Macaca mulatta: one gene and its partner. The protein of the gene in region 1 purifies or fractionates together with the protein of each later gene. This does not show direct contact. Links are inferred from orthologs where the notes say so. Each region holds a gene or a part of one and is shown in the gene's direction. Other genes may lie near its edges.

Evidence for each region.
Region 2: the proteins of SEC16A (region 1) and SEC23B purify together in Homo sapiens (affinity purification with mass spectrometry; 3 studies listed by BioGRID and IntAct, with this or other methods). This does not show direct contact. The link is inferred for Macaca mulatta from reciprocal best matches to the Homo sapiens genes SEC16A and SEC23B.

The regions. Positions count from the first base shown.
Region 1 is NC_133420.1:6,040,501-6,044,242, forward strand, and holds part of SEC16A (protein transport protein Sec16A), read left to right. Parts: intron 1-337; coding exon 338-419; intron 420-595; coding exon 596-713; intron 714-910; coding exon 911-1,022; intron 1,023-1,226; coding exon 1,227-1,332; intron 1,333-3,484; coding exon 3,485-3,625; intron 3,626-3,742. UniProt on the Homo sapiens protein: Acts as a molecular scaffold that plays a key role in the organization of the endoplasmic reticulum exit sites (ERES), also known as transitional endoplasmic reticulum (tER).
Region 2 is NC_133415.1:65,478,709-65,482,450, reverse strand, and holds part of SEC23B (protein transport protein Sec23B), read left to right. Parts: intron 1-814; coding exon 815-1,051; intron 1,052-1,343; coding exon 1,344-1,429; intron 1,430-2,207; coding exon 2,208-2,352; intron 2,353-2,789; coding exon 2,790-2,948; intron 2,949-3,742. UniProt on the Homo sapiens protein: Component of the coat protein complex II (COPII) which promotes the formation of transport vesicles from the endoplasmic reticulum (ER).

The DNA.
Region 1 (3,742 bases):
ATTTTTTTGAGATGGAGACTTGCTCTGTCGCCCAGGCTAGAGTGCAGTGGCACGATCCCAGCTCACTGCAACCTCTGCCTCCTGGGTTCAAGCGATTCTCCTGCCTCAGCCTCCTGAGTGGCTGGGAATACAGGTGCATGCCACCACACCCAGCTGATTTTTGTATTTTTAGTAGAGACGGGTTTCTCCATGTTAGTCTCTAACTTCTGACCTCAGGTGATCCGCCCGCTTCGGCCTCCCAAAGTGCTGGGATTACAGGCATGAGCCACCGCGCCCGGCCGGACTTTTTCTTTTAGCTGAGCCAGCGTGGGGTCTTTCTGTGTTTATGTCTGCCCAGGTTTGCCAACAGCCTCCCAATCAACGACCCTCTGCAGACAGTCTACCAGCTCATGTCCGGGCGGATGCCCGCCGCGTCTACGGTGAGTGGCACTGCCTGGTGGCTCGCACAGGCTCCACTGCCTGTGTGGAGTTTGCTCATGGGTGATGCTGTCACAGGCCGTGAGGTGCCTCCTCGTGCTGGTGAGCCCAGCTGCGTGGAATTGAAACGGTGCTGGCTTCCAGGGATGAGGCTTCGTTTTGTTTTTCCTCATGTTAGTGCTGTGGAGACGAGAAATGGGGAGACTGGAGGCCGCACCTTGCCATGGTCTTGTCCAACTTGAACAACAATATGGATGTCGAGTCCAGGACGATGGCTACCATGGGCGACACTCTGGGTAGGTCAGGGGTGGAGATGGGCATCAGGCGTCATGGATGGAGCACCGAAGGCCCGGTTGTCTGTGGCATTGGCAGAAATCACAAGAACCCGGCCTTCTTGGTCCAGCTCGCGTCTCTAGTGCCTTCTGTGCACATGCTTGACTTCCGCGGGCATCCGCAGTCACTGAGACTCCGCCTGGTTCTCGTGTCTCTCCAGCTTCGAAGGGCCTCTTAGACGCGGCCCACTTTTGCTACCTTATGGCCCAGGTTGGATTTGGTGTTTATACGAAGAAAACTACAAAGCTTGTCTTAATTGGATCAAATCACAGGTAAAGAAGCAAGTCAGTGTAGTCCTGTAAGTTTTCCTTTAAAAGTAAGACGAAATCCTTCTCCTTTAGTTAATTCAGAAATGGACAGAATCATGTCTTGATTTGTCACATGGTGGGACACACTTCTGGATGACCTGCTCTGAGGTTGACTCTGCTAATAATTGGCCATGTTTTTCAAATCAAAATAATTCGCTTCCTCTACAGTTTGCCATTCTTAAAGTTCGCAACCAATGAAGCAATCCAGAGGACGGAAGCCTATGAGTACGCCCAGTCCCTGGGTGCCCAGACCTGCCCCCTGCCTAGTTTCCAGGTAAGCAGGTGCTGCCAGCCTGCAGCTGTCATGGGTGGGCAGGCGCTCAGTGCTAACAAGCTTTTGGCTACTTAGATTTTTTGAGTTCTTATGGAAAAAAATGATGTGAGTTTTTTCGGGGAGGATCTTGAGAAGACATTTGATCTAAAATGCTAAAAAACTAGATCACATTGAATTGAGGCTTTCCGTTTGCATTTGATTTCAGTTATTTTCATGAGCTTTTTTTTTTTTTTTTTTAAGGAGACAGGGTCTCACTCGTTGCCCAGGCTGGAGTGCACTCTGCTTTGATCACTCCCAGGCTTCAGCCATTTCCCTTGGCCTCCAGAGTAGCGGGGACTACAGGCAGCACCACCATGCCGTGCTAATTTTTTTGTTTTTTTTTTTTTTGAGACGGAGTCTCACTCTATCGCCCAGGCTGGAGCGCAGTGGTGCAATCTCGGCTCACTGCAAACTCGGCCTCCTGGGTTCACACCATTCTCCTGCCTCAGCCTCCCATGTAGCTGGGACTACAGGCGCCCACCACCGCACCCGGCTAATTTTTGTATTTTTAGTAGAGACGGGGTTTCACCGTGTTAGCCAGGATGGTCTCGATCTCCTGACCTCGTGATCTGCCTGCCTCGGCCTCCCAAAGTGCTGGGATTACAGGTGTGAGCCGCCGCGCCCGGCCGTATGAGCTGTTTGTAATATTTGAGGGAGGTATTCTCTGATGCAGTATGGGGGTGGTGTGTATAAAATATACATAGAGAGAGGCTGGGCATGGTGGCTCATGCCTGTAATCCCAGTACTTTGGGAGGCCAAGGTGGGTGGATTACCTGAGCTCAGGAATTAGAGACCAGCCTGGCAACGTAATGACACCCTGTCTCTACCAAAAAAAAAAAAAAAACAAAAATTAGCCAGGCATGGCAGCATGCGCCTGTGTTTCCAGCTCCTCAGAGGCTGAAGTGGGAGGATCGCTTGAGCCCAGGAGATTGAGGCTGCAGTGAGCTGGATTGTGCCACTGCACTCTAGACTGGGTGACAAAGTGAGACCCGGTCAAAAAAAAAAAAAAAAAAAAAGTATCTAGAGAATGCCTGTGGGCAGCTGGAGCTGCACGGAAGGCAGTGGTCTTCCTGCCGTGCTCTTGGGGTGTTGTGGCTGTGAGAGCCGAGTGGCGCCATGAAAGGGGTTGGCGGGGAAAGCAGGGTGGGTTTCTTCCCAGCTTAGTCACTTACTTTGCTCTTGAAATCCTTCAGGGAACAGGGACTAGGACTGTGGTCGGCGGGCGTGGTGGGTGGGAGACATGATGAGTGAAGCGTCCAGAAGAGTCCACAGCTTCCAGGGTGACTCTCGGACGCAGGGGAGCCCCCGGGCAGCGCGAGGCTTTGTCCATCAGTGATGCTCGGACGCAGGGGAGCCCCGGGGCAGCGCGAGGCTTTGTCCATCAGTGATGCTCGGACGCAGGGGAGCCGCGGGGCATCACGAGGCTTTGTCCAACCACGATACTCGGACGCAGGGGAGCCCCCGGGCAGCGCGAGGCTTTGTCCATCAGTGATGCTCGGACGCAGGGGAGCCGCGGGGCAGCACGAGGCTTTGTCCAACCACGATACTCGGACGCAGGGGAGCCCCCGGGCAGCGCGAGGCTTTGTCCATCAGTGATGCTCGGACGCAGGGGAGCCGCGGGGCAGCACGAGGCTTTGTCCAACCAGGATACTCGGACGCAGGGGAGCCCCGGGGCAGCGTGAGGCTTTGTGCTTCGGTGATACTCGGACTCAGGGGAGCCCCAGGGCAGTGCAAGGCTTTGTCCGTCGGTGATGCTCGGACTCAGGGGAGCCCCCGGGCAGCGCAAGGCTTTGTCCATCCGCGATACTCGGACGCAGGGGAGCCCCGGGGCAGCGCGAGGCTTTGTCCTTCGGTGATACTCGGACTCAGGGGAGCCCCGGGGCATCGCGAGGCTTTGTCCAACCACGATGCTCGGACGCAGGGGAGCCCCGGGGCAGCGCGAGGCTTTGTCCGTCGGTGATGCTCGGATGCAGTGGAGCCCCCGGGCAGCACAAGGCTTTGTCCATCCGCGATACTCGGACGCAGGGGAGCCCCGGGGCAGCGTGAGGCTTTGTCCATCCGCGATGCTCGGAAGCAGGGGAGCCGCGGGGCAGCAAGGTTTCTGTCGTTTCAGGTGTTTAAGTTCATCTACTCCTGCCGCCTGGCGGAAATGGGGCTGGCCACGCAAGCCTTCCACTACTGTGAGGCCATCTCGAAGAGCATCCTGACGCAGCCGCACCTGTACTCCCCAGTGCTGATCAGCCAGCTTGTGCAGGTGCTGCCCCCGGCGCCGGTCCTCAGGATGCCGTGCTGACTGCAGGGAAGGAGGGCTTGCCAGAGCCCCCGGGCGTGGGGGTGGCGATGGTTCAGATGCGCGTTGTGGTAGACGCTC
Region 2 (3,742 bases), on another chromosome or scaffold:
CTCCTGACCTCGTGATCTACCCACCTTGGCCTCCCAAAGTGCTGGGATTACAGGCATGAGCCACTGCACCCGGCCCTCTTTTTCTTTTTTTTATGATGGGGTCTTGCTCTGTTGCCCAGGCTGGTATGTAGTAGCGCAACCATAGTTTACTGCAGCCTCCAATTGGGCTCAAGGGATCAAGGGATCCTCCTGCCTCCGCCTCCCGAGTAGCTGGGACCACAGGCATGTGCCATCATGCCCAACTAATTTTTAAATTTTTATACTTTTTGTTGTTGTTAGAGACGGGGTCTCGCCATGTTGCCAGGCTGGTCTTGAACTCCTGGGCTTAAGCAATCCTCCCATCTTAGCCTCCCAAAGTGCTGGCATTACAGGCATGAACCCAGCTCACATGCTACTTTCTAAATGAGTCTGCCCTGACTTCTCTGTTGAACAGTTGACTCTGCCCTCTGCCTCTCCTCCTGGTGTTTGCAGTCTCCCTTAACCTCTCCATTCCAGAAAGCTTACTCCTTGAGGCAAGTAGAAGTCTTTGTTCTTTCTGTTCACTGTGTGTCCCAGGACCTGGAACAATGTCTGGCATGTAGGAAGTATTAAAAAATGTTGAGTAAGTTGTTGGATACAAATAGTTTTTATGTTTAGTTTGATTTAATAGAATCTAAGTCATTTAATGAGTTAATTAGAGCTTTGTGTAGATGTCCTTATCTCCTAAAACTAAATATAGATGAAGACTTACGATTTTCATACCGAATTTGCCTTAAAAAGTGCTGGTTAAGTCTATTTGTATATTGATCATTATACTGTTTTTCTTTGCCCAAAGCGAGGTGCTCAGTCCCCTCTGATCTTTCTCTATGTGGTTGACACATGCCTGGAGGAAGATGACCTTCAAGCACTCAAAGAGTCCCTGCAGATGTCCCTGAGTCTTCTTCCTCCAGATGCTCTGGTGGGTCTGATCACATTTGGCAGGATGGTGCAGGTTCATGAACTAAGCTGCGAAGGAATCTCCAAAAGTTATGTCTTCCGAGGGACCAAGGATTTAACTGCAAAGCAAATACAGGTTTGTACCTTACTTTTACAGGATCAGGAACAAGGACTTTTTTCTTTCCTTTTCTTTTAAAGAGACTAGGGTCTCTTTAAAAGAGCCTGTAGCCCAGGCTGGAGTTCAGTGGTGTGATCATGGCTCACTGTAGCCTTGAATTCCTGGGCTCGAGCCATTGGCCCACCTCAGCCTCCTGAGTAGATGGGACTAGAGGCACGTGCCACCACACCCAATTGAGGACATTTCTTAAAAATTAGTCATTCACTTTTCGTGTCATTGGAAATGAATCTTTTTGGCCTTTTTTTTTAAGGATATGTTGGGCCTGACCAAGCCAGCCATGCCCATGCAGCAAGCACGACCTGTGCAACCACAGGAGCACCCTTTTGCTTCAACCAGGTGAGATCCCAACATGAAGTGTTACATGTACTATGATGGACAGGCAGATGATCCACGGAAGTAAGGAAAGAAAAATATTAGAACTTTTATTTTCTTATTATTAGAGGAAAAGATAAATGGTTAAGCCTCATCAGTATTCAGTATTTTGTCAAAAAGGTTTTGAGACCACTGTGCTCAATTGCTGTGCTTAGACATTCCACATCTGATGTCCTTTTTGATGCTTAAGTAAAACTGGAAAAACTGAAAAGACTTCTTTCATGTGTCCTCAAACATACTTAAGACCGGGTATTCACTTCACTCAGCCCATTGAGCGCCTGGGGCTGCCCTAGACTGGGCTAGCAAGCTCGATAAAATGCATCGCCCGACATGCTGAAGACAACCTCTTACTCTCAAGGCTTAAGAGAAGCACAGATTAGAATGATGAGGAATGATGACGATTGTCCACCTAAGTGGACCTCCCATAGACTGAACTTGTGTTAGGCACGTCCTTAGGATTTCTTTGCTGCCTAAAAGTTAATTAAACTGAATTGCTTCTTTTCAAGACAATTTTTTTTCCATGCAGCATATTTAAATTGCTAAGTATTGGGCTTTATATCCCTCAATAAAACTGCTTTAAATTGTTTTGTGTTAGTAGAGAGATAGCTTTGAAGAAAAAAATTACCCGTCATTTACTACTCCGAATAATTATCTTGGAGAGCAATAATTGTGTGGCATCTAGTGTTGAAGACCATAGTACTTTATTCAATCTGGGTTGATGTGTCTGTTCAAAATCTTGCAGATTTCTGCAGCCTGTTCACAAGATTGATATGAACCTCACTGATCTTCTTGGGGAGCTACAGAGGGACCCATGGCCAGTAACTCAGGGGAAGAGACCTTTGCGATCCACTGGCGTTGCTTTGTCCATTGCTGTTGGCTTGCTGGAGGTAATTTGGAATTTACCAGGACCTCTCAAATCATACAGACTTGCTCTCAGAAAATATATTTGTTGGCTTTGTTTGAAAATCACTTGTGATCTAAGTCAACCATGTGTGTTAATGTATCAGAAAGCATTTCAGGCATCATTATCATGCATGTTGAGGGAGCCCCTCAACATTTTGAAAATGCCAAAAGTTTTCATGAAAAACTGAGAATTAGAGCAATGGGGAGCACTCACAGCGAATTAATAAAAGTGTGCAAACCCATCAGGTTGGAAGAAGGTAAGTGCTGCTTTTCTGCATTATCATCTGTAGTATTCTGCAGTATCACCACTTTTTAGAACAGCTGGAGAGAATGCATCTTCGGAGTATTTCTATTGGGAAATTGAAACCATACACAGAGGTGGGGCTGTATACTTCTAACATGCTGCCATTCGCTATTTTAGGGCACTTTTCCAAACACGGGAGCCAGGATCATGCTGTTTACTGGAGGTCCCCCTACCCAAGGGCCTGGCATGGTGGTTGGAGATGAATTAAAGATTCCTATTCGTTCTTGGCATGATATTGAGAAAGATAATGCACGATTCATGAAAAAGGCAACGAAGGTAGGTGCTCTTGGGTACGGGTTGTAATTCTGAAAGCCCATTGTCAGGTTTGGGCTGCTCTGGAGTGACAGCTACTTTGCTGTCATGTGTCATGGTCAGCAAGACGCTGTTTCAGAGACAGTTTTCTGACCCTAGCTGCTATTAAATTATTGCTCCTACTTTCAGACCTTAATTAGAGTGAGTGGCCTTAAAACTACTCAAAGGGTTTTGACATTGAAAATTATATTTTTATTTTATTCAGATATTTTTGAAAATGATTTCCAGGCTGGGCCTGGTGGCTCACGGCTGTAATCCCAGCACTTTCGAAGCGGGGGGTGGATCACTTCCGGTCAGGAGTTCAAGACCAGCCTAACCAACATGGTGAAACCCTGTCTCTACTAAAAGTACAAAAATTAAGCCAGGTGTGGTGGCTCACGCCTATAGTCCCAGCACTTTGGGATGCCCAGGCAGGCGGATCACTTGAGGTCAGGAGTTTGAGACCAGTCTTGCCAACATGGGGAAAACCCCGTCTGTACTAAAAATACAAAAATTAGCTGGGTGTGGTGACATGTTCCTGTAATTTCAGCTACTCAGGAGGCTGAGGCATGAGAATCCGTTGAACCTGGGAGGCAGAGGTTGCAGTGAGCTGAGATCGTGCCACTGCACTCCAGCCTGGGTGACGGCATGAGACTCTGTCTCAAAAAATAAATAAATAAAAATAAAATTACAAAAATTTGCTGGGGATAGTGGCGCATGCTTTTAATCCCAGCTACTTGGGAGGCTGAGGCAGGAGGATCACTTGTACCCGTGAGGTG